7 linked regions of the Mus musculus genome follow. The protein of the gene in region 3 purifies or fractionates together with the protein of the main gene of each other region. This does not show direct contact. Links are inferred from orthologs where the notes say so. Each region holds a gene or a part of one and is shown on either strand. Other genes may lie near its edges.

Region 1 (4,083 bases), on a different chromosome or scaffold from region 3:
TTGTTGCCCTCCAACTCAATATGTAGACCAGGCTAGCCTCTAACCCAGGCTGTCCTTGAACTACTGATCCTCCTTCCACCAATGGGAAGTGGAAACAGTCACGCACCCTCACACCTGACTTACCTACCTACTTCCTTCCTTCCTTTTTTTCTCTTCAAAAAGAAAAGTTTTTTTTACACAGAAAATGAAAATTAAGAAAAACAAAAACATATTGACATCTTCAACTCAGTACCTCCCTTTCAGACAAACATTTACTGAGAATTTAAGATGTGCCAGACATCACAACAGGAACTAACAGATTACAACATTTATTCCAAATGTATTCAGCTTCCAAATGTATTGTGCAGTATACATTTATCAGTTAACCTAAAGCTTTCCTCCAGTCATACCCAACAACAAGACAGATATATGCTTTCCCTAAAAACTTCACTTTGCCCTAAGACACTCACTTTTCACTATTTCATACAGGTTGTACATCTGTGACAAACAAAAAGGTTCCACCTCTCATACAACACTGGTTACATTTTCATTCATATGAAAGACAGGAACTTAGAAAATAAAAGCCAAGCCTCTACAGAGCCCCAAACTCAAAAAGAGGAAAAAAAAAAAAAAAAAAAAAAAAAAAAAAAAAAAAAAAACCTTTAAAAGGGTCTAAACTGCTTTGTACAAGAGACAAACACAAAGTGGCAACAGCATTTGTAGTCTACAAACAGAAGCTTTTGAAACTGTACCTGGATGCAGTCCTACAAAAGCAATCCTCACTGGATTAATTAAAATTTAAAAAAAAATTAATTAAATTAAAAAAAAAAAAGAATCCCAAAAGAACTGTCAAAAGTAGATGTCATTTACATTCTAACACTTCAATACACACGCTTTCCAAGCATATCTGAATTTGTAGTAGATTTTAAAGAAAAATTTTCCAGTATCAAAGTTCCAACAGTTAAATCTAGATATTTTCAGATACCTAAAGCTTTTCATACCAATATGAAAAAAAAAAAAAAACTAAAACAGCTGTGATTTATTCCATCAATACACAGACTACTTCTTAGACACATTTCTTAGAAGCTATTCTGTGGTCAACATGTTTACTTCAGTACAACCTGCCCATTACACACAACATATCTTAAAAGAGTCAACTCCAAGATCAGTACACCAACAGTGAGAAAAAGAAACCATACAGAAACCTAAGTCCCTAGAAATACAAGGCACAGCAGGCCAACTCGGGTTTCTTTAGGGAAGGAGCACCAAACTGCTTTAAACATCTTCAGTATTTTGCTTTCTGCTTAAAATTTACGGTCCCGGTCACATAATCAAATGACATTTCCTTTCATCATTGAACAGAGAGAGAGACCCACTACAGTTTCAATATTCAGGTTACTAGACCAGCTTTCCGTTTTACGATTTAAGACGCTTTAATGTGTGCAGTTGTTCCTTCGGCTCCATGCAAAAGGTGCTGTTCTGTTTGGGAAACCTGAACAGCTTGGGTGAGGTTATCTCCTAACTGACTCCATAACTTCGAAACACACAGCCTGTGGATGTTCGCTCCAGCTGACCCTGTCAGGGAAAGCTCCACACCGAGCCACTCCACACACACACACACACACACACACACACACACCTGCCTCTGCAAAACTCGCAGGCCTGCTACAGCCCCGACACTTCCTGAATTCGAAAGCCACTCAAACTGGCTAAGTGACGCCTTACCTTCATGGTGACTCTGGGGCCGCGATCCCCACGGCGACACCAGCTTCACCTGCACCTGGAGGGGAAACAAAGACACCGGGTCAGCACCACCGGCACCACCACCACCCCCGCCCCAGGCCGTAGGGGCGGGGGCGGCACCGAGCGGGGCCAGGAGCCCCGAGCAGGCACGCGCCATCCCACCGCCCCTACCGCCCCCACCGCCCGCCGCCCCATTGTCGCGACTCCACGGACTTTTCCCCCGTCCTCCACGATGACGCCATTTCTGTCAGAAGAAAACTCACAACAAGCCCAGGGTCCGGCGCGGCCTGAAGCGCGGCTGCGACCGTCCAAGCCTACGGAACCGCGATGCCCGGAGCCCCCGGACTGAGCCCTCGGTGAACCGGCGGGCCCTTGGGCTGCGGAGGCTCGGCCCCACAGCGTCCGCCCGCGTCCCGCCCGAGCCAAGGCCCACAAGTGGGAGCCGGGACCGGGCACCGAGGACATCCAGCTCCCAGCACGGCGGCCCGAGGCCGCCGGGCCCACGGTGCGGCCCGGGTAGGGCGGCTCCGGCTCGGCGCGGCGGGGGGCGGGGGTCCCAGGAGGCCGAGGCCCCGCTGCGAGCGCCGACTCAGCCCCGTTGCCATCTGCCCCGATGCGCGGCCCGGCCCGGAGCTTCCCCCATAGAAAAGAATGTCCCTACCTCGGGCACAGACGAGGTCTGAGCCCTGCGGCCAGAGCCCCCTGATCCGCCTCCCCCCACCCCCAACACCAGCAGGCCTGTGGGGAGAGAGAGCGAAGGAGCTGCGGGTCCGCCGGCGGCCGGGACTCCGGCTCCGACTCCTCCTCCTCCCGTGGCGGCGACTGGTACCTTTGTTTGGCGGCCGCTCCGGCTCCCTCGCGGGGGGAGGGGGGCGACAAAAAAATCCCTCTCGGACGGAGGTCCGGGCCCCGGTCTCACAGCCCTCCAGAGGAACACGGCGGCCGACCTTCAGCGGCTCCCTCCGGGCAGAAGTCCAGGCGGTGGCCGTCGCGGCGGCAAACTGCGGCTCGAGACTCTCCCTCCGCTCCAGCGCCCGAGCTCCTCACTCCGGACTCGACTGACGGGCAAACATCGCTTTCCCCCCTCTCTGGCCCCCCTGCCCCTTCTCCCCTCCCCTCGGCCCTTTGCCCCTCCCCTACCTCTTTCCCGGATGCCTCTCAGACGACCTAGGATTGGGTAGGATTCTTTGGAGCCCGCCTCTTCCAAGTTTCTATTGGTTTGAGCGATGCAAACAACGACGCCATTTACCCACCAGTTCTATGGAAACAGAAAGTTATCCCTCAATACTTTCTGGGAATTGTAGTCCAGTCTTCTAGGCCAATCGGTAAACTGACGGACATTAGAACTACCAAGACCGCAATGCCCACTTGCCTGCGTTCGACGAGAGAGGGGAGGGGAAGGAGGCGCGGCCATGAGGCAGAGGGGAGGTGGCATACGACGCCTGCGCAGTGTGATAGGGATGGCGTATTTTCTTGCACTGAGTGCTGCGGCGTCGCTGGCCGCTGAGGAGGGCAGAGATTTCTGTGTGAAATAGTGGGAGGGCTCCAAGGAAGCCTCTTGAAGAGCCGCAGTCAGAACAATAAATTGAGAAGTCGATGTGGGCACTGCTAGTCTCGTACCGGCGGCGGCTTCAAGTCTGAGATCATCGTGGAACCGTGAGCAACAGCGCGGTGGCAGGGGGGACCCGGATGGGGAGCGGGGGAGGGGGCGGTACGGAGGAGGAAGCAGTAAGGAGGGAGAGAGGACCCGGATGCTGACCCGGCTCGGAGTGACTGCCGGCCGGGTGCTGGGATGAGGGGAGGCAGAGGAGCTCGGAAAGAGTGGAAGGGCCACCGGTGCAGCGCAGGGAAGAAGCCCGCCTGCGAGCTTATTACAGCTATGCCTGTGTGGAGCCCTTTCTTTTCCTTCAGAGCCATCGCCCCCCGGGGCTTGGAGTCAAAGGTTCTTGCTATGCGCCTAACAGCTGAGCTCGGTGACCCATATCTGTGTCGCTAGTCTCAAGCCAGAGCCGGCCTATTTTAAAAAGAGAGAGAGATACTTTGCATGAAATTTTCAATATTGTATGAATGTTTGATGCTCAGAGTTCACCCTCTGAGATGTTAGAAGTCCTCATGTGGAAAGAGGGGATGTATAACTTCCTGAACGGAAGTCTAGTCAAAATGAAACCTGATAGGAGGACCTTTGGCTTCGAGAGGTATAGAAAGGTTTTCCTGAGAGTGTGAGAACTAAGCTTGACTCAAGAAGCCAGCCAGAGTTACTAAGGGAAGTCCCTAAAGGAAAGGAAACCTGTTTCAGGAAAAAGACTTCCCAGTAGGAAGAACTGAGGCCCAGAGAGGTGAGGTAGGAATTTTGATCCAGTA
Region 2 (4,131 bases), on a different chromosome or scaffold from region 3:
CTCTGCGCTAGCAGCTGAGCGAGCCTCCTGCACACCCTGGTGAAACCGGACAGAGACGCCCAGCTCCAGCCGCCTAGGTTTGACCTGGGCTCCCGCCCTAATATCCCCATCAAAGCTGGAGGGTGGGTGCTAGCACAGTGCGCAACACTTACCCGGGTGCGGGTGAAGGTTGAGACCGGCCATGTATTTCCCGGGCGGCGGGGGACCTGGCAAGCCCGAGGAGGGCAAGCGTCCGGCGGTGGCCGCGCCCACGCGGTGGCTGTCCATGGCCAAGCCGGACAGCAGCGGCGGCGGGGGGCCGTGGACGGACCGCTGGGGCCCGAAATCTCGGCCATCCATCCTCCGCGGGAGTGCCGCGATCAGCCTCCCCACCCGGCCCGCCGGCCTGCTTCAGTGGGACTTAAAAGTTCGGCCTCGATGTAGTCCTAGTGTCCTCGGGTGGCGGGCGCTCCGCGGCGTGCATGGCGGCGGCCAGCGGGGCTTGCGCTCAACCACGGGCCCGCGGCCCGGGGCGCATGAACCGCCCGCGGTGAGTCCCCTCCGGGCGGCTGAGCGGAGATGAGGAAGGAGGCGTACACGGTATCTTTGGTGAGGGAAGACCGCGGAAGACACAGAAGAGGGAAGGGGGAAAAGGGGAGGGGAAAGAGAAAAAAAAGAAAACAAGTTTCAGAAAGTCGCCTCGCCCTTCAGGGTAGGAGAGTAGCGAACCGAGCTGGTGGCCAGAAATAAAATCGGGAGTAGCCGCCCCCTCTCCTCGAAATGCGAAAACCTAGGGTCCTTCCTCCAGCAGTTCAGGGTTCCCAGGGACGTGGCTCAGGGAAGCGGCCCGGCTCGCTGTGTCCCAGCCCCGTCTCTTGCCTACGAAGTTCTCCCTAACTGGGGAAGGCCACTCAACAGACCGCGCCCGTTCAGCTAAATCCAAACCCGTAGTTTATTTTTCAGGCGTCACAAGCTCTGGAGGTTTAAAACTTCGAATGCTTTTGAGTTGGTTGAAATGTGTCCATAACGCCATACCAACTATCTGATTCGCAAAGTTTAATGTTTAACCTTTTTAGGGCCCTCGTCTCCCTTTTTTTTTTCTCCTTGTGAGCCGCGAATAATAATAATAATAATAAAAGGGGTGTTCGGTTTAGGGGCTTTTTGTTGTTGTTTACCAAGGTCAGATACGAAACGGGTTTATTTTTAAAGGAAGATCACCGCCCCCCTCCTGCTGCCCCCGTTGGGCCATTGGGAGTCGCAGAATCCGAGTCCCCGAGACGTGGCATTCTCGCCCGTGAACTGGAAAAAGACTCCTTCAAAACAAGATTTGGTTTCATTTTCCAACGCCCGGGCCTGGGAATACCGATGCCCGGAGAACGTGGCTTGGTGTGGAGGATTTGGGGATCATCAGAGAAGAAAGAAGGGGTCTCCAAAGATCTCAATTCTACCCTAGCTTTGTGACCCACACACCCCCAAAATAACCTACAAAGGAAAAAAAATAACTTAACAGCGCGGGCCAGCGGAGGGGCGCCTCCCCAGCATCGGGTAAACCCTCCTGTAAGTCCTATTTAAGCTGTTTGTTTAAAAGATCTGTCGCTTTCCTGTTCCCGAGGGGGTAGGGAGGTCTCAGAGAGCCCACCCTTCCCTCCCTGACTACCAGCCCCAGGCTACTCTAGACCCCCTGGTTCCGGGAGAACCGGGGCGCTCTAGCAGACGGAGACTAAGCCACAGCTCCCGGGTGACCAGCCGCCCTACGCCCAGACCCAAAAGTCCTCTTCCCCCAACTTTGCTAAGGACGCCTATTTTAACGTGGCTTTGGTTACAACACCCCCTCTTCCTCTCGCCCGCCCTCGCTCTTTATCAGGCTCTGGTTACCAGAATCGCGTTTACTTTTGAAAAAATCTAGGATCGTCACAGCCCGGGATACTTGTCTCAAAGGCGCCAGGAGCTTCCCGCATACACTTAAAGATAATATTCATTAAAGGCAGCGTTTTGAAAAAGGCAGAGCCCAGGCGCCCCACTTTAAGGAAGTCGGGGTGAAGCCCTACGGAGCAGCCTTTGCCATGGTCGAGAAGCTGGCGTGGCTATCTGCGGGGTTCCACTGCGTCCTTCTCTACTTTTCCCCTCTTAAATGCAGCTAAAATGGCTGAATTCCGGCTTTTAATTAAAAACAGCCTATAATCGAAACCGTCTCGGCGTCCCCGGGCTAGCCCGCCGCCTGCCGGGAACCAAGTAGGGAACCGCCGCCCTCGGCGGTGCTGCAGACTGAGAGCTCGGGTGGGAGTCCAAGGCGCAGCGATGCGTCCTCTCCCCCTGATCCCTGCCCTCCGCTTCCCTTCTGGGGACCCCGACTGTTTCGGGGACCTTCTGCTTTGCGGACCCAAGGGGTACGCTGCACAAGTTCGGGGAGCATCGGGGCCCGGAGCGTACCTGGCGCGGCGGGGCTCCGGGCTCCAGGCTCCGACGGCGACTCCGGCAACCGCCGCGGTTCCTGGCGCGGCTAGGCGCCCGTACTGCCCGCCATCCCTCGGCCGCCGCTCCCCTCCGCCACCCGCAGCCGCCTCACACTTTTTGCCCGCCTTTCCTTTTTTTGGTAGAAAACCGCTCCCCGGGCCGGGCGCGCGGCGCGCCAACTCCTCCGCCCTCCCGCGGCCCCGCTCCCGCAGCCCCCGGAAAAGCCAGCTTTCCTCCCGCCGAGCTCCCCGCTTTTTAATAAAATCCAGGTAGCGCCGGTTTAAAGAATCCCAAATCTCCATATACAGCCCGGGATTGGAAAAGGTACATTACACAACCCCCCTTTCAAGTTCCTCTCGCTGGATCTAAAAAAAAAAAAAAAAAAAAAAAAGCGAAGGGGGGGCTTAAGGGGGACGGGGGAGGGGAGCCTCGCAGGCGAAGAAACACGCATTGTTCCCGGGTGCCCGCCCCCCCCTTCGGGCCAGCCCCCGGCCGCAGCGCATTGGTCCCGCTCGCCGCCCATCACGCGCATGTAAACACCTTGGCCCTCAGCCATTCCTATAAAACCAATTACGGACCTCGGGGCTCCAGCAGTTTCCAGGCTCCCCACGGCGGGGCTGAATGATCAAAACTGGTGGTGAGAATTTTTCCGAGCCGTTTCTAGGCAGCCCTCCCCCACACCAGCTCCAGCAGACCCCCCCCTTCTTTCTCCTTCTCCCTCCCCCCACATCCCAGCCCCTCCTCCTGCGTCTGGGCTGAGTGATCAAAATAGAGGAAGATGGTTGTCGCCGCAATCCCGGGCATTGCAAGGCCTCCTGTCAGCTTCCTTCTTCGGGAGGAGGTGACAAGCTAGCCGGGAAGAGCCGGGAACCGGCGAGCTGCTCATTGCGCCCGCGCCCGGCGCTCCCTCTCTAGGGTGCCACTCCAAAGAGCGAGGTTCAGACGAAAAATAACAAGGCCTGCTTCTCTCTCGCTTGCTCGCTCACTCTCGCCTTTTAAAATAAAGCAGCGATTCATTCCCTTTCCCCCTAGCAGTCGCGGTCGGGTGGGGTGGGCAGGCAGGCGACAAGGCCTTTTTTTTTTCCTTTTGCCCCTGCCTGCGGGTCCCCTCCCTGAAACGCGGTGTCAGAAGGCTTTACTGATTAATATTTTGGACAGGCCGCGGCGGTCGGCAGCGGTGAGTTGCATCTTATAAAAGGTTCCTATAGAAACCCGGGCTGTGGGGCTCTGCGGCCGAGTGCGCACCGCGCGCCCCTCCCCAAAGCCCCTTTTGGCGTGGGCGCCCCTCCTTCCCCCTTTCCCCGCCAAGAAAAACCAGAGCAGAAAAAAGGATTAGATCGGCGGAACGCGAGCTGAATCCCTCTCGGTTCTGACATTTCAGCCCTATTAGCATTTCTCCACGGGGCCTTCTGAAACCTATTAAGGTGTAATATTAAAAACCTCTTGGCTGGGGGCCTCTCTCGCCTTCCATCCGCCGCGCCCCCTCCAGGGAGGGCGAGACCGGGAAAGGGAAAAAAAAAAATCTGTTGAGCTCAGAGGAAGCAAGCCAAGCCCAAAAGTGCTTGGCTGGCCACGGCGGCCAGAGGGGGAGGGGAGCACTAATCCCCCAGACTTTGTACTTTTATTTTGCTCTTTCAGCAAAAAAAAAAAAAAAAAAAAAAAAAAAACTTTCGAAGTTAAGTGGCAGGGAGCCGCCGA
Region 3 (3,500 bases):
AGACAGCGACAGTGTACTTACATATAATAAATAAATAAATAAATAAATAAATAAATAAATAAATAAAATCTTTAAAAAAGAAAATTTGCTGTTTCTTGCAGAAGCGAGTTTAGTTCACAATGTTCACCTAACTCCAGTACCAGGAGATCCAATATTTTCTTTTGGCCTCTGCAGGCACCAAGGACATGTTGTATATTACATGTAGACAAACACTCATACATATTAAAATAAAAACATCTTTTAAAAAAATAAAAAGTGGGCTGGTGAGATGGCTCAGTGGGTAAGAACACCCGACTGCTCTTCCGAAGGTTCAGAGTTCAAATCCCAGCAACCACATGGAGCTGTAACGAGATCTGGCTCCCTCTTCTGGTCTGAAGACAGCTATAGTGTACTTACATATAAAAAAATAAATGAATCTTTAAAAAATAAATAAAAATAAAAAGTGTTGCTCATGTCATCTAAGTTAAATTATGAGAGGTCTGCTTCCCAGCGGACTAGACAGCCATGCCTAGCACCAGGTAGTTCACGACTGCCTGCAATTTCAGCTCCAAGGGGTCCCATAGTCCCCTCTGGTTCACTCACACAGGTGGAATACACACAGAAGTAGATATAATTTTACAAAACTGCAAATATATCTAAAAAGACCTATTATGAAAATTCTAGTGACAGGAGCAAAAAGGCCAACAAAATCCACATCTACATTGCTGACTTGATCACAGCATAAATATAGAACAGCACCATCTAGCTTTTTCTTTTATAGGCACCATCTCATTTAGGCCCTAGAGTATCTCTATGGACAGCTAAAAGCTTTATAACCTGCCAGAAGTCTACAACTAGCAAACAGTAAACACAAAAGGCAAACAAGACTAAATTTGTGCGTCATGAGTTCAAAGCAGCATGCCACTCTTGAAGGTGAAGAGGAACTGTGTCTAAATCAGAATTACTACTAGTCTAGGAAATGCCACGCCAGGCTAGTGGTTTTCTTTATTCTTTTAGCCTTTTCTATCCCGGTGATACAGAATTTCCTAAATTGGGGATGGTGATATTAACATTGTTTTAGATAGAAAAAGATGAACTAACGTGATTCCAGTTTTTTTTTGATCCTGCCGGCAACTTCTTCCATCTTTTCACAAGCAGCACACAGGCATTACAGATGTCTCCTGAGCGAGTCTCATGCAACCTGACAGGAAATCAACAAGTCATCATGCTTTGCATTCGTGAGGACTCTGTGTGGAGACTTCTCTTGGAGAAAAACACATCCATTTATGGTTCATAAATGCAACTTCTGCCGATCCTAACATAGTCTTTCCATTGTTTCTCTAGTACATTTCAGATATAAAATTAATGTTCTGGTAGTGGTCCTACACCCACGTTTAAGTGAGTAGCACTAAGTGGATTCAGTAGCATCTTAAAAGAATTAAAAACAAACTATGTATTTTATGTATTGGTTTTAGACAGGACTTCACTAAGCAACCCTGGCTGTCCTGGAACTCAATTTGTAGACTGGTCTGGCCTCATAGACATCTGCCTGTCTCTGCCTCCACAGTGCTGGGATTAAAGGCATGTACCATGGGAAGGAGGGAGGGAGGGAGGGAGAGAGAGAGAGAGAGAGAGAGAGAGAGAGGAAATGAAGGAACTTAGGCAGTTGAAGTTGGGAGAGTGGTAGAAAGGATAAGGATAGATTTGATGAAAACATGAATAAAGAAACAAACTTCTTAATTTAAAAAATTAGCTTAAAGAAACCCAATCAATCAAATCAATGTATTCCAATTAAAAAATCTTTAAGCCAGATGTAGTAGTGCATGCCACCACTAACAGCCAGCACTTGGGAGGCAGGGACAGATGAATCTCTTGAGTTCAAAGCCAGCCTGGTCTGTATAGTGAGTTCCAGAACAGTCAAAGCTGCACAGTGAGAGCCTGCCTTAAAAGAGGGGGGAGGAGGGCTGGAGAGATGGCTCAGCGGTTAAGAGCACTGACTGATCTTCCGAAGGTCCTAAGTTCAACTCCCAGCAATCACCATCTGTAAGGAGATCTGGCGCCCCCTTCTGGAGTGTCTGAAGACAGCTACAATGTACTTACATATAATAAATAAATAAGTCTTGAAAAAGAGTGGGGAGGAGGTGGCTAGAGATGAGATGAGATGATTCAGCGGTTAGTTGGGAGCACTGACTGCTCTCTTCTAAAGGACCCGAGTTCACGCAGTCCACAACTATCTGTAACTCCAGTTCCAGGGCACCTGACACCCTCACAGAGACATGCATGCAGGTAAAAACCAATGTACATAAAACAAAATTAGTAAAAGTATTTTTAAAATTAAATTCACTTAGTTTTTATGTATGTATATCAGTGTGTGTGTGCCATGCGCCATGGAGAACAGGATCTCCTCAAACTGGAATTACAGAGCTGTCATGTGGGTGCTGGGAACTGAACTAGGGTCCCTGGAAATGCAACATGTGTTCCTAATTGTTGAGCCATTTCTCCAGCCCAAGTGCTCTACATACATATATATAATATACTTAGGAGCAGGAGAATTTCTAGAAACTCACAACCAAGTAGCCTGGCCTAAGAAGCAGAAAATACATAAAATAATCACCTGTATGCCAAGGATCAACACTCACGATTGCCCCAACCCCCAACATGAATCCCACAGCACATGCAAGCACTCAAACGTGTACATGCACCAGGCAGTAGTGGCACACGATTTTAATCCCAGCAGTTGAGGCAGAGGCAGGCGAGTTTCTGAGTTTGAAGCGAGCTTGGTCTACAGAGAGATGCAGGGCAACCAGGGTTATACGCACCCTTTTCCTGAAACAAACAAAATCAAAACAAAAAACAAAAAGGAAAGGTACATATGCACTCAATCAAACAAACCAAAATCAATGTCTGTCTCATCAAGTGCAGGTGTGCACATGTAGCTTTTACTATGAAAAATGGTTCAGTATTCAATATTTTATTCAAGTATCTCTTGGAAAGTTAACATACCCTGTTAAGTTTCAGGGCAGAATATTTAAGTATACTACTACCATCCTCCTCAGCAAGTTAAACGATAACTGTTTTCAAATACAATGCAGAGCCGGGCGGTGGTGACGCATGCCTTTAATCCCAGCACTCGGGAGGCAGAGGCAGGTGGATTTCTGAGTTCGAGGCCAGCCTGGTCTACAAAGTGAGTTCCAGGACCGCCAGGGCTATACAGAGAAACCCTGTCTCGAAAAAACCAAAAAAAAAAAAAAAAACAATGCAGAAAGAATACAGGAGGACCACTCCTGGTCAGAGAATAAGGATACATTTTTAAAATACACTTTTAGGAACAAAAGGGTTTGTCCAGCTAAAACCATAAAGAGGCAGAGTAAGCAGTCAGTACTAACTCATTTTAAGAACATGAAATCCTTAATACCCAGGTATTAGAAACTAGTGGTTTTAATTATTAGCACATTGCTCCCTTTTCATTGCTCCCATTGCTTTTCATGGAATTATCTCCACATTTTTCTAAAACTATTTTT
Region 4 (3,500 bases), on a different chromosome or scaffold from region 3:
TTGAGAACCTAAGAACCAATTCCAGGGCTGGAAGAGTCCAGTTCTGTGAGCTGGAGAGAGACTTATTGAGCTATCCTCTCTGAGCAGTAACACCAGACTCATAAAGTAAACAAAATGTACAAGGTTCAGGAAATAAAGGAAATAGAAAATTCAGAAATCCCCTGAAATTTAAATTAGAAACCATCTCCACACCCATCCCCACCAAGGATGAACTTGAATTTCTGATCCTCTTCTAAAAGGAGAAACAATTTCTGGGGAAAGTACTCTCTCCCATAGGTCAAGCTGCCCTCTGGCTGTGCAGGAGCTTCAAAGACTCAGGTTTTGTGTACAGTGGGCTTTTCACTGCACTGCCTTTGGGTTGCTCATGTTCCTTAAGTGACCCCAACACACATAATGGCTCACTAAGACTTAACTAGAATCATTTCTTTGGTTTGCTGTCAGTGTATCAAAGGGATGTTTGTTATTGTCTCTGAAGGAGAAGCCACACAAGACTTCATGTTAACTTGGTCCTTTCCACTTCAAAGACATATGTTTATAAACACTGCTATATATATGGTTAAGCTGCTTTTCCTTTTCCCATAGAAATCTTGCTTTTCCTTTGTGACTTTTAGCTGAGAACACCTTCCCTTGGTAGCGCTAACCTCCAACACACCCTCTCACCTGTCTGACGATGCTCTGGATTAATTTGTCCATAGTAAAGGCAATGTAGGCATGAATGGTGAACATCTCTCTCAGTGAATCTTCATACTGTGATGAGTCTATGTTGCCATCAAGCAGGCTCCGCACCATGTCCAGGAAAGCTGGGTAATAATCTTCTACATCAACATCCACTACAGGAAAGATTAGACAGGTAAGACTGTACTCTGCTAAGACAAGCTCGAGGACAGAGAATACAGAATCCCACAGCTGGCCTATATACCATCTGAAAGGACAAAATACCAGATATGCAAAAACATGTCCAACTTAACCCACTACAGAGATGACATCTAGTAGGCAGCTATAATCACCAGAACTGTCCATCGAAGAACCAACAGTGACTCTGCAACTTCTAACAGTCGCTTCCAGCACAGACTGACTGCTAAAAAGACACTTTGAGCACTGCTGAGTTCTGTCACCTGAGAGCAAAATATCCCAAGAGAGTCCTTCAAGTTGCTGGCTCCTTCACTTACACAAAACCATTTCACAAAGGGGACAGTTGCTCATGAGTGTACCTCAATGAAGAATAAAGTATGGACAAGAGAAGACAGGCATAGGTAGATGCTACCACACTTGGAACTCTTGGCTACAGAAGTTATTCAAATTAACCCCTCTATGAAAATGAATAACTCTGATTGTATCACAGTCCCTTTGCTTAAAATAGATTTGCAACACTGAACTCCAGTAATTACATTAGATGAATTGTATTTGTTGCACATGAAACATTTAACCAGTAGCTGGAGTGAATCTTACTAGTAAAAGGACATAGTAACTAAGAAGGGCACCAGGAGCTCATGTATGTATGTATGTACATATGTATGTACGTATGTATGTATGTACATAATCCCAGGGGCAAGGGGATTGCTGGGCCAGCCTAGGCCACAAAACAAGTTCTGGGACAGTGAGCATTTTATAGCAGTAGACCCACTCTCAAATACAAAAAAAACTCATTTCTAAGTCTGAAAACCAAAATAGTAGAACAAAGAAGTTACTGGGGCTTGGCTTTATTTTCTTGACCTCTTTTTTTGACTAAAGTATGCTCATTATAGAAAAATTTAGAGCCATAAAATTCTATTTGTGGGGCAGGAGATACGGTTCAGTGGATAAGAGCCCCTGCCCCAGCACTCATGTGAAAGCCTGGCTGTCACCACCTGTCACCTTAGCACTGTGAAGGTCAGCAGAGAGGAGGATCTCTAGGGGGCTCAGTGAGACGCTGTCTCGAGAAGGAAGGTACATAACACAGTGGCCATAGCCTTTTCTAGCCTCCTTGCACATAAGGCACATGCACCCCACACAAATGCAGATTCTCATTTGTGTTCCTTTTTGCATACAGGTTGCACATCAATAAAAATTTGATCAAAAATGTTAACTACAAAAAGTACACTTACTGATTACTGGCCATCCATTAGTAAGGAGAAATTAGAAAGGGGACAAATGGGGTGGATCTTACAGGCAAAAACGAACAATCACTGCTTAAAACAAGTTACTGGTTTGAGTTGTGTCACACTACATCACTTTGTCTAAGCCCAGGAAGCAGGGAGCTAGCCTTTAAAATATACTAGGATAAGAGTCCAAACCACAGATTTATAGCCACAAACTATGACTGGCATGAAGTTGGCACTATCACTCAAGAATAAGCTGCTTCAGCATAAGTCCAGGATAAGACAGTGATCAAGCCCAGATTTATATTTGTAAATTCTACTTGTTTCTTCCAAGCTAGGACTAAAACAGATAAAGGCTTTTCAAACAGATTCCTGGTGCTATTAGTTCAACAGATAAGAAACTAGGTTTATACACAGGACTCCTACAGCAGTTATTTACTATTTCGTGAAGAGCAAAGAAGGGAAGCCTGTGAGGATGTGTCTGGCTCACAGGTTAAGCACCCAACTTCAGAATGAAAGCATTATGTGGAAGGAGGCGGCAGAACCCAGCATACAGCCAATGATAGCTAGCTTCTTAAATGAGCCTCTGGGCTTCCTTTCCCTTGAATCCTGTCTATCCCTTTGCCTTGTCTCAAACCATCTTGAGTGCCAATTCCTCTTCAGAAATATCAGGAATGAACCAAGAAGCCCATTAAGGAGATGCTAACACACATCTGAAAAGATTCCTTATGTGCCATAAGCATAACAAGGAATTTCTATGTTATGAATAGAAAGAACTGTGACGTTTCTTTCTCATCTGAACCACTGCTCACTAACCTAGCCAATGGATCCCACGTCCCTCATGTGTCCACAGTGCAAACTAAACACCTCACATGACCATGAACCGGATACTGTACAAGGTTCCATGCTTGCATCTTTCTTAAGCCCTCAAGCAACCACAGAAAGTGACAAATACTGCCTCCATTTTTTTTTTTTTGGGGGGGGGGTTTCATTCATGGGTTCAAGGAAGGTTACACAACCAGCTAAGTTGCAGAGGTAGGATACGAACCCTAGTTCCAATCTAAGGACTAAGTGTACTTCAAGGTAAGGTGGCCTTGAAGCCAGCCATCTACCCCATGCATAAAGCTGACAGTCTAAGCACTCACTAGGTTCCTTGAGACGTAGTTGTATGGCAGGACTATCACTCTTGTCTCGCTTTATGCCTAGCACCTCCCGTTCCCATTCTCTCTCTCGGTTTTCTTCTTCAATTTGCCGTTCAGCTTGGGAACAAATCCGTAGCAGCCTCAAGCAGAGAATTTGATGCAGTCGCATAAAGATATACCAATTGTTATTGACATAGAAAAGGTTATATACTTCATCCATCCCTCTTAACTTTTGAGCTGCTGTGTTACTAAATAGCAACTTGGACTTAGGGGGGCTGCC
Region 5 (3,500 bases), on a different chromosome or scaffold from region 3:
AACAGGGTTGCAAAAATAAATACTTTAAGGTCCAGACTTGCAGCATAGGCCAATGAAACTTTCCCCAAAAATGTAAAAGGGTGGGATCTTGTTTTCTACAAGGCACTATGCCTAACAAACCTTGTAGTACAGCTTTATCAGTTTTAAAAAAACTGAGATAAACAAACCAAGATGGGGGGGGGGTGTCACACATATCTCAGAGCACACATATCTCTGTGAGTGAGGCCTTGGCTACAGAAAAAACTAAAAGCAACAATTTCACATAAGTGAAATGGTATGGTAAACAGCTTTACAAATAAATAACTTCGTGTTTTTCTCTCCTTGGGGGGGGGGGGGGCAAGCTTGCTTCTATCAGTTGAACCGTTTCTCTTCACTGACAACTTACTAGTCTTAAATTTAAATGTCCTTTGATTTCAAGCTTTCTTATGAGTACCATAATAGACTTTTTAAAAGTTTCAATTATATGGGCATGTATGCCTATATATATATATATGAGTACAGTGCCTATGGAAGCCAGATATGTCTGATCTCTCTGGAGCTAGAATTATAGGGCATTGTGTGCCACCTGGCATGAGTACTGAGGACTGAATTCTGGTCCCCTTGCCAAGAACAGTAGGTATTTAAATGCTGAGCTGCCTCACTAGCCCCATAATGGTGTTCCTTAAGGACTATAAAACTATTGCAAATTCATAATATATACACAGAGAAAACTAGCTGTAGACAAAAGGCCTTTGTGAAAAAAAAATCATGAAGGCTAAGAGTCAGGCACAATAAAGTATTTTGGACACTACCATCTGTATACCACACACTCAATGTCTCATCCCCCTACCCCACCACCGCCATGGCCTCAAAGCTCATGGCCTTCCTGCTTGAGCCTCCTGGGTTATAGAATTATTTTTTAAAGCAGCAATGATATAAATGTCAAACACACTGGTCTAAAAATCCCCTATCCTTCTCTTGCTCATTTCTGCCTGGCGCTACTGTGCACAGAAGCCAAAGAGACAAGGGAGCTTGCACAAGGTTAGCACTAGTGAACACCTTCTGTGTCTTGGACTTACTCTCAAAGGGTTTTTTTCACCTTAAAATTCATGCACCATAAATTCTCACCTATGTTAGAGACAATGACCAAATGTTTGGAGGAGACACATGGTGAACAATTCAGAAAAGGGACAAAGAGCTACTACTAAGCCTGTCAGTATTTCACAGAAAAGTGTTAACTTCCATATGGTTAGAGAAAACCATGCTGGTAATCAAACAGCAGTGATACTACCTCCCAATCCCCCTCCCAGCAGAAAAACAAAAACAAAACAAGCCTCAAAAAACACCATACCTGAAATCAATAGGAACTTAAAGTTACCCTCACTGAAACATTTCCAGAAACTTCTGGGGCTCCATTTACCATTTGTAATAAATGTCAGAGCCTACAGAGCCTAATCACAAAAACTTCCTGGATTTCCTTTTTTTTTTTTTTTTTTTGAAATCACTGGCAAGCTAAAATTTGAAGCTCTGACTGACCTAAAATAGTCTAGTAAAAAAGTACTCAAGTGTGCATAATATGACATTTAATCTAATGCATACCAGGAGCTCTGGAGGCCCATCTTCTGCATCTTCTGCTGATTGTTCTTCTCCAATTTTACTATTAAGAAAATAAAGCTTTCATTACTGCAAAGTCTTATAGCATGCATGTGTGTTTTATTAACCCAGAAAGTATTTCTCTATGAGAAGTACTTAAGACAGGTTTCTCAACCCATGGGTTGCCACTCTGTGTGGGCTAAACGACATTTTCACAGGTGCGTGAAAACACACATTTATATTATGATTCATAACAGTAGCAAAATTACAGTTATGGAGTAGCCAGAAAAATAACTTTATGGTTGGGGGGGTTCACCACAACAAGAGGAACTGAACTTTAAAGGGTGGCAGCATCAAGAATGCTGAGAACAGACTTAAGTATTCTTTATTATTGTGAGTTGTTCATTTGGAGCCACTAATAAATTAAAGCTGCACAATGAAGAAATATTGCTCATAATAAACATTAGTTCAATTTCTTTTTTAACTGTGGTTTTAATGAAGTATAAGCCAAAGAAAGATTTGTTAGGAAAAGTCAAGAATATCATGAGTTTGAGGCCAGTCTGATCTGAGCTACACAATGCCCTGTGTCACAAAAAATGAAAGCGAAAACACTCAATCCAACAATTCTCTTTTCTATGCTACATGCAAGGAGACACTGACAGTATTTTAATGCTTGTGGTACTAGAGACTGAACCCACAACCTTGTGTATGCTAGCTCTATCATTGAGCTACAACCCTAGTGAACTGTAGCAAAAGGTATTTTAATTTGCTAAGCACACATAACAAAGACTTGAGCAACAAAGAAATAGGGCTGGAGTGGTAGTGGCTCAGCAGTTAAGGCCACTTGTTGCTGATGCACAACAGGGTTTATGTCCCAGCCCCCACATTGTACTATCCCTATACAACTACTCATAGTCCCTGTTCTGGGGATCTGATATGAGTACCTGGCACACATGTGTTACACACACAGGCAAAACACTCATACAAAATACATGACCAATTTATGTTAATTGCTGATTTACTTTTCTATCACAGAACAGAAACTCTTAAGGTAGTTAGGAGTTTATTGAAGTTGGATCAGCAAATTGCTTTCCTGGTTTATGAGTTCTATTATGTAATCTGTTAGATTGACACATTTATGCAGTTCCTTGTCACCAGATCCTAAATTACCTTAAATCCCACACATTCAGGCGGCGATCAGTACCACTTGAGGCCAGAATAGTTTCATTATGTGGAGACCAGTGGACCTAGCAATACAGATTTTGAAAACTTATTTAAAGAGCCTTGGTACCTTGGTCTGTAAGTATCATTCTAATCTGTATTTCCTTACCTCACATTCTGTATCCGCTTAGCCTAGAGACTTGACTGTCCAAGGCTTTAAAGTGAGCCCTACCAATCCACCTTGATGGCAGCACTGAACCCAACACTTTGTGCTTGCTCTACCACTGAGCTACGTACCCAAATCCTTAGCTACTCCCAGCTCCCCAAGCCTGCAGGCAGGAAGTCATGTTTCTAGTACTGAAGAAGTCAGGAATCCCAGAAATCTTTAGACCCATAACCATCCATAAAACCTTTAAAATTAGCCTATAATCTCTAATCCAAAACTATGTATAGGACCATTTTTACAGTGCACCCACCATATTGTCACTCTTAATTGAAAAATCCTTGAAAATGTACTTCAAACTGATTCCATTGAAGAATTTTTTCTTACTTCTGGATGGGAGGGGACTCTCAAAAACAATGACAGCAACAACAAAAATATCCATCACCTTGATTTATATAGAATTATGAGGAGCTTTATCAAAAACAAAATGTCCAAATTCCACCAAATAAAAAAAACTTCAGCCGGGCAGTGGTGGCACAGGCCTTTAATCCCAGCACTTGGGAGGCAGAGGCAGGTGGATTTCTGAGTTCGAGGCCAGCCTGGT
Region 6 (3,500 bases), on a different chromosome or scaffold from region 3:
TCTTAAAAAGACAAAGTCTATCTTAGGCATGGTGGTCTCCATGCCCCAGGGAAACGTCAAGAGTGTGTTCCACACTTCATGAAGACAGTGAAATATCAAAGTCAGGAACTCACTCTTTGATAAGAGACAGCAGACCATGTACAGATGACTCAAACAGACCAGTCTCAACCCTCCTCGCCTGCACTCCCAGACAGAAGCGAAACTCACAGACTTCAATGGCTTGCAGCAGGGGGCACTGTGGAGCGCGGGCAGTGGCACACCTACCTTCCTGAAGCTGTTGCAGCTGCCTCTTCAAAGATGCCAGTTTGTCCTGATACATCCTGCAAAAGAGGAAAGACTCAGCGCACAGGTTGGAGGAGTGGGCTGACCTGGAGATGCGAGCGGTGGTCTTCAGGGCAGAGAAGGGGAGTCAGGCTGAAGAGGTTTGAGATGAAGGGATCACAAAGAGACACGCCCCCACATTCCTGAAGTGCATGCACACACACACACACACACACACACACACACACACACCCATGAAGCCGTGCGAACTGCACAGGGTGAGAGCCACAGGCACTAGCGCATCCCTACAGTACAAGGTAAGCAAGAATAGACCAAGAATGGCAGGCAAAAGGGGGCTGAGGAAATGGGGCGAGAACACTTGCCACCAGCACTAATGGCCGGAGATTCACCTGTGGACCCAGCAAGCACAGTAGCAGGAGAGAACCGGTCCTTGCAAGCTGTCACCTGACTCACAGTGCAACACAGCATAACCCCCTTAACGCACAAGAAGAATACACAGAAATGTGATTTCCAGGCTGGTGAGATGGCTCAGTGGGTAAGAGCACCCAACTGCTCTTCCAAAGGTCCGAAGTTCAAATCCCAGCAACCACATGGTGGCTCACAACCATCTGTAACAAGATCTGACGCCCTCTTCTGGAGTGTCTGAAGACAGCTATGGTGTACTTACATATAATAAATAAATAAATCTTTTAAAAAAATGTGATTTCCAAGGGATTGTGAATGGTGGGATGTGGTTCCCTCAGCACACCCGCCCTACAGACAGCATGGCTGTTAAGGACCAGGCCCACAACCCTTCCCACCACGTGAAAGCTACTACCTTTCCAAGAAAAAAGAATGCCAATCCAAGCTCAAAAGGCAAATGCAGGCTGGATGCAGCCCCGGCTAGGCTAGGGCATAGAGCACACTAAGTAATGTGGCCAGTTCACACCTAGCACATGGAGGGGTTACAGGCAACCACACACCAGCGAGTCCATCTGGGCTGGGAGGCTGGCCGGGCACATCACATCTGGGGCAGTGCTTCTGCTTCTCCATGAAAACCTCCCAGTTTCTCAGTGGCAACAACAAAGGCCTCGGAGAACACGGTTCAACAAGACCCTCTCACTCCTCAGAAAGGCTAACAGACACACAGACCCCTCGCTTCAGGACAGTGAGGGGTCCCTGAGCCCTCCCGACTGCTCTCTGGGGACCAGTCCTAACGCACAAACCCCTCGCTTCAGGACAGTGAGGGGTCCCTGAGCCCTCCCGACTGCTCTCTGGGGACCAGTCCTAACGCACAACTCAGGTACACCACAGTGGCCGCAGTTCTCATCACAGCGGATGTCCAGCTTAGTAAGTATGAAGGAGGCACGGTAATCAAACGCTTATCTCTGAAACTGTTGCTGAGAGGGGCCGCCCGGCTCTAGAGGTGGCTCAGGCGCTATGGGCACTGGCTGCTCTTCCAGAACAGTCTATATATAACTCCAGTTCCAGGATAACCAACGCCCTCTTCTGGCCTCTGAGGGCACTGCACACATGGTACACAGAGCATGCAGGCAAAACGCCCATGCACATAAAAGAAAAAGAAATGTCTTAAAAAACAAACAGACAAACAAAAAACTGTTTCTAAAACATGGCAAAGACAGGCGAGGACAGTGTTTGAGAAGTTTGTAGACCCAGGACATCAATTCCCTACCACAAAAAGGGAGCAGGCAAAGAGATTACTTGGGGAATGAGAAAGGAATCGGGGCTGGGCACCAGATCCACTGACATCACATCCACGGAGAAGAGTCTGTGAGAGCAAGTTTCAAGCAGGCCGGACTCAGCCAGTAAAAAGCTGGCAGAGCAGCAGGACCAGGCTGAGTTTCAGGTGCAGCTGAGTGCACACACATGAATTGTTAATGTGTCCTCGCCCAGCAGCGGTCACACCTAATTGAGTTCCTGCTTTGGGTTGAAGATGACCGATGCTAGAGAGAAGGGCATGCACATTTGAAAGGAGAAGCCAGGGGAAGAAATGGGGACTACGTAGCCTACAGGAGTTTAAGGGTTCAAAACCAAGAGCCTTGAGATAGACCCAGTCACCACTTCCTGAAAACTGGGCACGGAGCCTCAAAACCTGTAACCCAGCACTTGGGGGATGAAGCAGGAAGACTGCGGTGAGTTCAAGGCAGCCTTAGATCACCTCCAAGTGATCCCCTATCTCAAACACGCCCTACGCGACCACACATCTGGGCACAGATCAGGTAGCAGGTGCAAGAGCGGTGGGCAGGCACCTGAGGTTCAGCTACTTGGAAGGCTGATGCAGGAGGACACCTGGAACCCAAAAGCCTGACACCAGTCTGGCAACAGGGAAAGACTCTGGATTTGTTTCTTGCTGGTGGTTGACGGTGTGTTTCTTTTAAAAACTAACGACAGCTGGGGGGGGGGGGGGTGCACGTTTAATCCTAGGGCTTGGGGATAGAAGCTGGTGAATTCAAGAGAGTTCAAGGCTAGGCTCATCTAGGGAACAAATTCTGTGATAGCCAGGACTACACAGTGAAACCCTGTCTCAAAAAAAATGAGTAAATAAAAATAATAAGGCCAGGCGTGGGGACAACACCATCAATCCCTGCATTCTGTGAACTGAAGGTTAGTCCGGTCTCAAAACAACGCTCTCACCCCTCTCAGAAAACAGTCAGAGCTTTAGCTGACTGTGGCTTTCGTGAAGATGTGTGAGAACAAACAGAATGTGGCAGGAAAGGGGGTGGCAGCCTGCTCCCTCAATTCCCAGGACACTTGGGACACCCAGCATATGACCCACAATATAGGACAGGGGCTGGGGGCCTGCAAGATACCCATTGTCCTGGGTACCAGTTTTCACAGCAATTCTAACGGCCTTACTGCCCCAGCCCACCATGCCCATCACGGCTCCTGCTAGTCTAGCCTCCGAAGAGGCTCCTAACAGGAAGGCTCCTAGATGCAACCAGAGAGGGAAACTACAGAAACATCTGTGCTTTGCAAGCACTGAGGTCAAAAGGGGGCCTCTGTATTCCAGAGAAAAGGCACCCGGGCTACTCACTGTTCCTTCATCTCCACGTAGTCTTCCTCATCGTGCTTCGCCAGGTCAGTCTCGCTGGCATCCTCGGTGTCTGGGCGAAACAAGGGGAGAAGCGGGCAGTTATGATCAGGTTCACAGAATCCGCATCATGACAGCGTAATCGGCAGACTTCTGGGAGAAGAAGGAGTTTCTATCCCATGTGGGT
Region 7 (3,500 bases), on a different chromosome or scaffold from region 3:
AGTAGTGTAGCGAATTTCCTCATGGACTACACTTTCTACCTCCCCTCTAGGAGCCTGTTTTGCTTTGAGTCTGGTTACAGGTCTAGAAGAAACTATTGGTGGGCCGTGAGCAGACTCTGCAAAATTAATTTCCTCATGTGGGGAAGGCATTATTTCAAGAGGTGGGGCTGAGGGTACTACTTCCTCAGGTGGGGCAAACCCTTGAGAATCTGAGGATTCAAAATTCTCAGCTTCAACATGGTCTTCCCACACATCCCCATCCCATGTTGTAGGATCCCATTCTTTGCCAATTAGAGCCCTTACTTTAACTGTCGACACACTCTGAGGCTGAGACTTGAATTTTCGCTGTAGTTCAGCCAATCTTACAATGAGAGTTTCCGTTTGATTTTCTGCAACTTGAGCTCTATTGCTACAAGAGAGAAGATTCTCCTCAAGGACACACTTAGCAACTTTTAGATTGTTTACTTGTGTCTGGAGCCTTTCGATTTTATCACACAACTCCTTCCTTTCATTCATCATTTTTTCCACAGATACTAAGAGCAGCCAGCCAGTAAAATCATTTTTCGATTTTTTCCCCATCTTGTAGAAAGCTTTGTGCACTGAATCACCTAATTCATTAAGAAAATCAAGGGCATTAGCTTCTTTAAGTTCGGAATATAGTTTCAACCATGGGTCTTCAAAATTCTCTGAGCTCCCAGGAGGGAGAGAATCTGTAGAGGTTTCAATAGTTGAAAGTGCTGGTGGATCAACAAGCCAATTCCAGAATTTTAAAAGATTCATCCTTGTACTTCTGTTACTCTAGAACCACTCCTGGTACCAACTTCTGTATTAGTCAGGGTTCTCTAGAGTCACAGAACTTATGGATAGTCTCTAGATAATAAAGGAATTTATTGATGACTTACAGTCGGCAGCTCAATTCCCAACAATCGTTCAGTCACAGCTGTGAATGGAAGTCCAAGGATCTAGCAGTTACTCAGTCTCACGCAGCAAGCAGGCGAAGGAGCAGGAGCAAGAGCTAGACTCCCTTCTTCCAATGTCCTTATATTGTCTCCAGCAGAAGGTGTAGCCCAGATTAAAGGTGTGTTCCACCACACCTTTAATCCCAGATGAAAGGCGTAGCCCAGATTAAAGGTGTGTTCCTTAAACTCGGAGATTCAATCTTCTGGAATCCATAGCCAATATGGCTCAAGATCTTCAAACCAAGATCCAGATAAGGATCTCCAAGCCTCCAGATAAGGGTCACTGGTGAGCCTTCCAATTCCGGATTGTAGTTCATTCCAAATATTGTCAAGTTGACAACCAGGAATAGCCACTACACTGACTAAAAGAGACCATTCCCAGTATAAACACATGTTTTGCATACTTTTAACACCACAACAAACCTTTTCTTTTCTTGAAGATTCTGAAATGCCTTATATTTAATTGCTTTGTGATAATTTTAGCTGTTGCAGTTCTAAGTAAAACTAATAGGCATCTTTAGATTAAAATGAAGGCGGGGTGGGATGGGGGTGGGGGGAGGAGGCCGGTAGAGTTCTTGCAGTGCAAGCCTCCACATCTGAGTTTAATCCCATCATATACAGACAGACAGAGAAGTGACTGCACAGGCTGTTCTCTGACCTCTACATACATTTGATGGCATGTGCATACACAGATATGTGCATATACACACACGTGCACGTGAGTACAAATGTTTCGCACGCGCGCACACACACACACACACACACACACACACACACACACTAAAAAGAATGAAATTATTTTCAGAACATAATAAACCTCACGCATTTTTGGAATGGCTCAAATGATCAAGTCCCGAGTCTGTGCTGGGCAGGAACGGACAGCAACAAGCACCCGCAAGGTCACGGGTGCTTGAGCACCGGAGGCCGAGCACCGGAAGTCGAGCGCTGGCAAACACCCACCTGCTCCGTTCTTTTCAGTTTTGGCTGCAGCACTTGTCCGCTTTGGGGTTCGCTTTTGCTTTTTTGCAATTAATCCACTATTTCCATCGCTTGGCCTTTTCTGACCTGAAATAAAGGAAAAGCTTGAAAACAGAAGCAGAGGCAGACAGGTCCGTTTACACACCTGTCCATGCCATTCCACTATTTTCTTTTCTTTTTTTTTTTTAATTTTTAAATTTTTTAAAAAAGATTTATTTATTATATGTAAGTTACACTGTAGCTATCTTCAGACACTCCAGGAGATGGAGTCAGATCTTGTTACAGATGGTTGTGAGCCACCATGTGGTTGCTGGGATTTGAACTCAGGACCTTTGGAAGAGCAGTCGGTGCTCTTAACCGCTGAGCCATCTCTCTAGCCCCCCACTATTTTCTTAAACAGACAATTGTAAACGTCTGTCATAGCCAAGCCCTGACTGGCTCAGTCCCCCGCAAGTCTTACCCTTCTCTCTGCTCTCTCGCTCGTGTGCAATTATACTACAGGCACCAGAGGCAACACTGGCTTCAAACCCGTTCGCCGATTCCCTCTCACAGAGGCCTTCTTGTGATTCTTCGGCGATGCTATCAACTTCAATTGTAATGTCACTCTCACTCTTTATACTTCGGGACTCGTCTTGGCTGAGAGTGAGTGGGGAAGCTACGGAAAAGTTATGCTGTGCTACAGGAGGTAAGGCAGGTGGTACGGAAGCCAGAGAGTTAGACTCAGAGCCTTCTACTACCACATCCTCAATACTGGTCTTATCCTTCTCATCTAAATCATCCAGGTCTACCTCATGGCAAACCAAGGTTTCAGGCCCGATCAGAGGCATCGCATCCTCCTCTTCTTTGAGTGGCGTGTGCACCGGTTCTTCTTCGGCTGGACTGTCCGATTTCTCACTAGTCAGTTCTTGAAGGCCCTGGTCGGGCTCGGCTGTCAGCGATGGCATCCCTTCACCTTCTGTTTCAAAGTGCTGTTCCACGTGTGCGCCTTTCATGCCCTCGGCTCCCGCGCCATCGTCAGACCTCTCTTGGGACACTCCAGTTGTCATTTCCATGCCATTATCAAGTCTCAATTTTTTTTCTGGGGATTGCTGTCCCAGGATTTTTCGTTTCAACTTTTTTTCTTTCTCATATGGGTCGATGTCATCTTCAGTAGAAGAAAAGTTTTTACATTCTAGTGAAGAAAACTCCAGGCTATGAACGTCCCCATGAGCTTCGCTGCCTGCTTCCTCCTGGCCGAAAGGTGAAATCTTTATAAGTTCTAACGAAAGGTCTTTTGTCTTGCTGCGCCTTCCCTTCCCTTTGGGAGACTTTTCCACCTGTTTCTTAAATTCTTCTACTTGGTCCACTTTGTCTCCAAAAATATGCACAATTTGATCGCTGTCCCCTGCCTCCACCGTCAGGGTGTCTGAGGGCTGTGCCTGAGTCCTGTCGTTTTCTTTTGATATATGTACAATCTTTGGGTTTTCTTCATCTAGTTTATCATCATGTGCATTTTCATTTTTTTCCAATTCTTCTTTGACATCAGGAGAAAGATCTTCACCCCCTGAGCTCTTCTCCAGCTGG

The links.
Region 1: the proteins of Sinhcaf (region 3) and Arid4b purify together in Homo sapiens (affinity purification with mass spectrometry; 3 studies listed by BioGRID and IntAct, counting the BioPlex papers as one, with this or other methods). This does not show direct contact. The link is inferred for Mus musculus from reciprocal best matches to the Homo sapiens genes SINHCAF and ARID4B.
Region 2: the proteins of Sinhcaf (region 3) and Tnrc18 purify together in Homo sapiens (affinity purification with mass spectrometry; 3 studies listed by BioGRID and IntAct, counting the BioPlex papers as one, with this or other methods). This does not show direct contact. The link is inferred for Mus musculus from reciprocal best matches to the Homo sapiens genes SINHCAF and TNRC18.
Region 4: the proteins of Sinhcaf (region 3) and Sin3a purify together in Homo sapiens (affinity purification with mass spectrometry; 4 studies listed by BioGRID and IntAct, counting the BioPlex papers as one, with this or other methods). This does not show direct contact. The link is inferred for Mus musculus from reciprocal best matches to the Homo sapiens genes SINHCAF and SIN3A.
Region 5: the proteins of Sinhcaf (region 3) and Rbbp7 purify together in Homo sapiens (affinity purification with mass spectrometry; 3 studies listed by BioGRID and IntAct, counting the BioPlex papers as one, with this or other methods). This does not show direct contact. The link is inferred for Mus musculus from reciprocal best matches to the Homo sapiens genes SINHCAF and RBBP7.
Region 6: the proteins of Sinhcaf (region 3) and Suds3 purify together in Homo sapiens (affinity purification with mass spectrometry; 3 studies listed by BioGRID and IntAct, counting the BioPlex papers as one, with this or other methods). This does not show direct contact. The link is inferred for Mus musculus from reciprocal best matches to the Homo sapiens genes SINHCAF and SUDS3.
Region 7: the proteins of Sinhcaf (region 3) and Arid4a purify together in Homo sapiens (affinity purification with mass spectrometry; 3 studies listed by BioGRID and IntAct, counting the BioPlex papers as one, with this or other methods). This does not show direct contact. The link is inferred for Mus musculus from reciprocal best matches to the Homo sapiens genes SINHCAF and ARID4A.

The regions. Positions count from the first base shown.
Region 1 is NC_000079.6:14,062,501-14,066,583, reverse strand, and holds the start of Arid4b (AT-rich interactive domain-containing protein 4B), read right to left. Parts: upstream 2,801-4,083; 5' UTR 2,552-2,800; intron 2,542-2,551; exon of another isoform or gene 1,986-2,541; intron 1,760-1,985; 5' UTR 1,711-1,759; coding exon 1,705-1,710; intron 1-1,704. UniProt on the Homo sapiens protein: Acts as a transcriptional repressor. May function in the assembly and/or enzymatic activity of the Sin3A corepressor complex or in mediating interactions between the complex and other regulatory complexes.
Region 2 is NC_000071.6:142,814,863-142,818,993, forward strand, and holds the start of Tnrc18 (trinucleotide repeat-containing gene 18 protein), read right to left. Parts: upstream 2,801-4,131; 5' UTR 2,410-2,800; intron 2,389-2,409; exon of another isoform or gene 1,855-2,388; intron 1,455-1,854; exon of another isoform or gene 584-1,454; 5' UTR 340-583; coding exon 153-339; exon of another isoform or gene 1-152.
Region 3 is NC_000072.6:148,929,471-148,932,970, forward strand, and holds part of Sinhcaf (SIN3-HDAC complex-associated factor), read right to left. Parts: intron 1,181-3,500; coding exon 1,081-1,180; intron 1-1,080. UniProt on the Homo sapiens protein: Subunit of the Sin3 deacetylase complex (Sin3/HDAC), this subunit is important for the repression of genes encoding components of the TGF-beta signaling pathway.
Region 4 is NC_000075.6:57,110,876-57,114,375, reverse strand, and holds part of Sin3a (paired amphipathic helix protein Sin3a), read right to left. Parts: coding exon 3,224-3,500; intron 831-3,223; coding exon 661-830; intron 1-660. UniProt on the Homo sapiens protein: Acts as a transcriptional repressor. Corepressor for REST. Interacts with MXI1 to repress MYC responsive genes and antagonize MYC oncogenic activities. Also interacts with MXD1-MAX heterodimers to repress transcription by tethering SIN3A to DNA.
Region 5 is NC_000086.7:162,773,872-162,777,371, reverse strand, and holds part of Rbbp7 (histone-binding protein RBBP7), read right to left. Parts: intron 2,820-3,500; coding exon 2,743-2,819; intron 1,637-2,742; coding exon 1,579-1,636; intron 1-1,578. UniProt on the Homo sapiens protein: Core histone-binding subunit that may target chromatin remodeling factors, histone acetyltransferases and histone deacetylases to their histone substrates in a manner that is regulated by nucleosomal DNA.
Region 6 is NC_000071.6:117,109,494-117,112,993, forward strand, and holds part of Suds3 (sin3 histone deacetylase corepressor complex component SDS3), read right to left. Parts: intron 3,387-3,500; coding exon 3,317-3,386; intron 321-3,316; coding exon 265-320; intron 1-264.
Region 7 is NC_000078.6:71,074,967-71,078,466, reverse strand, and holds part of Arid4a (AT-rich interactive domain-containing protein 4A), read right to left. Parts: coding exon 2,398-3,500; intron 2,025-2,397; coding exon 1,920-2,024; intron 1-1,919.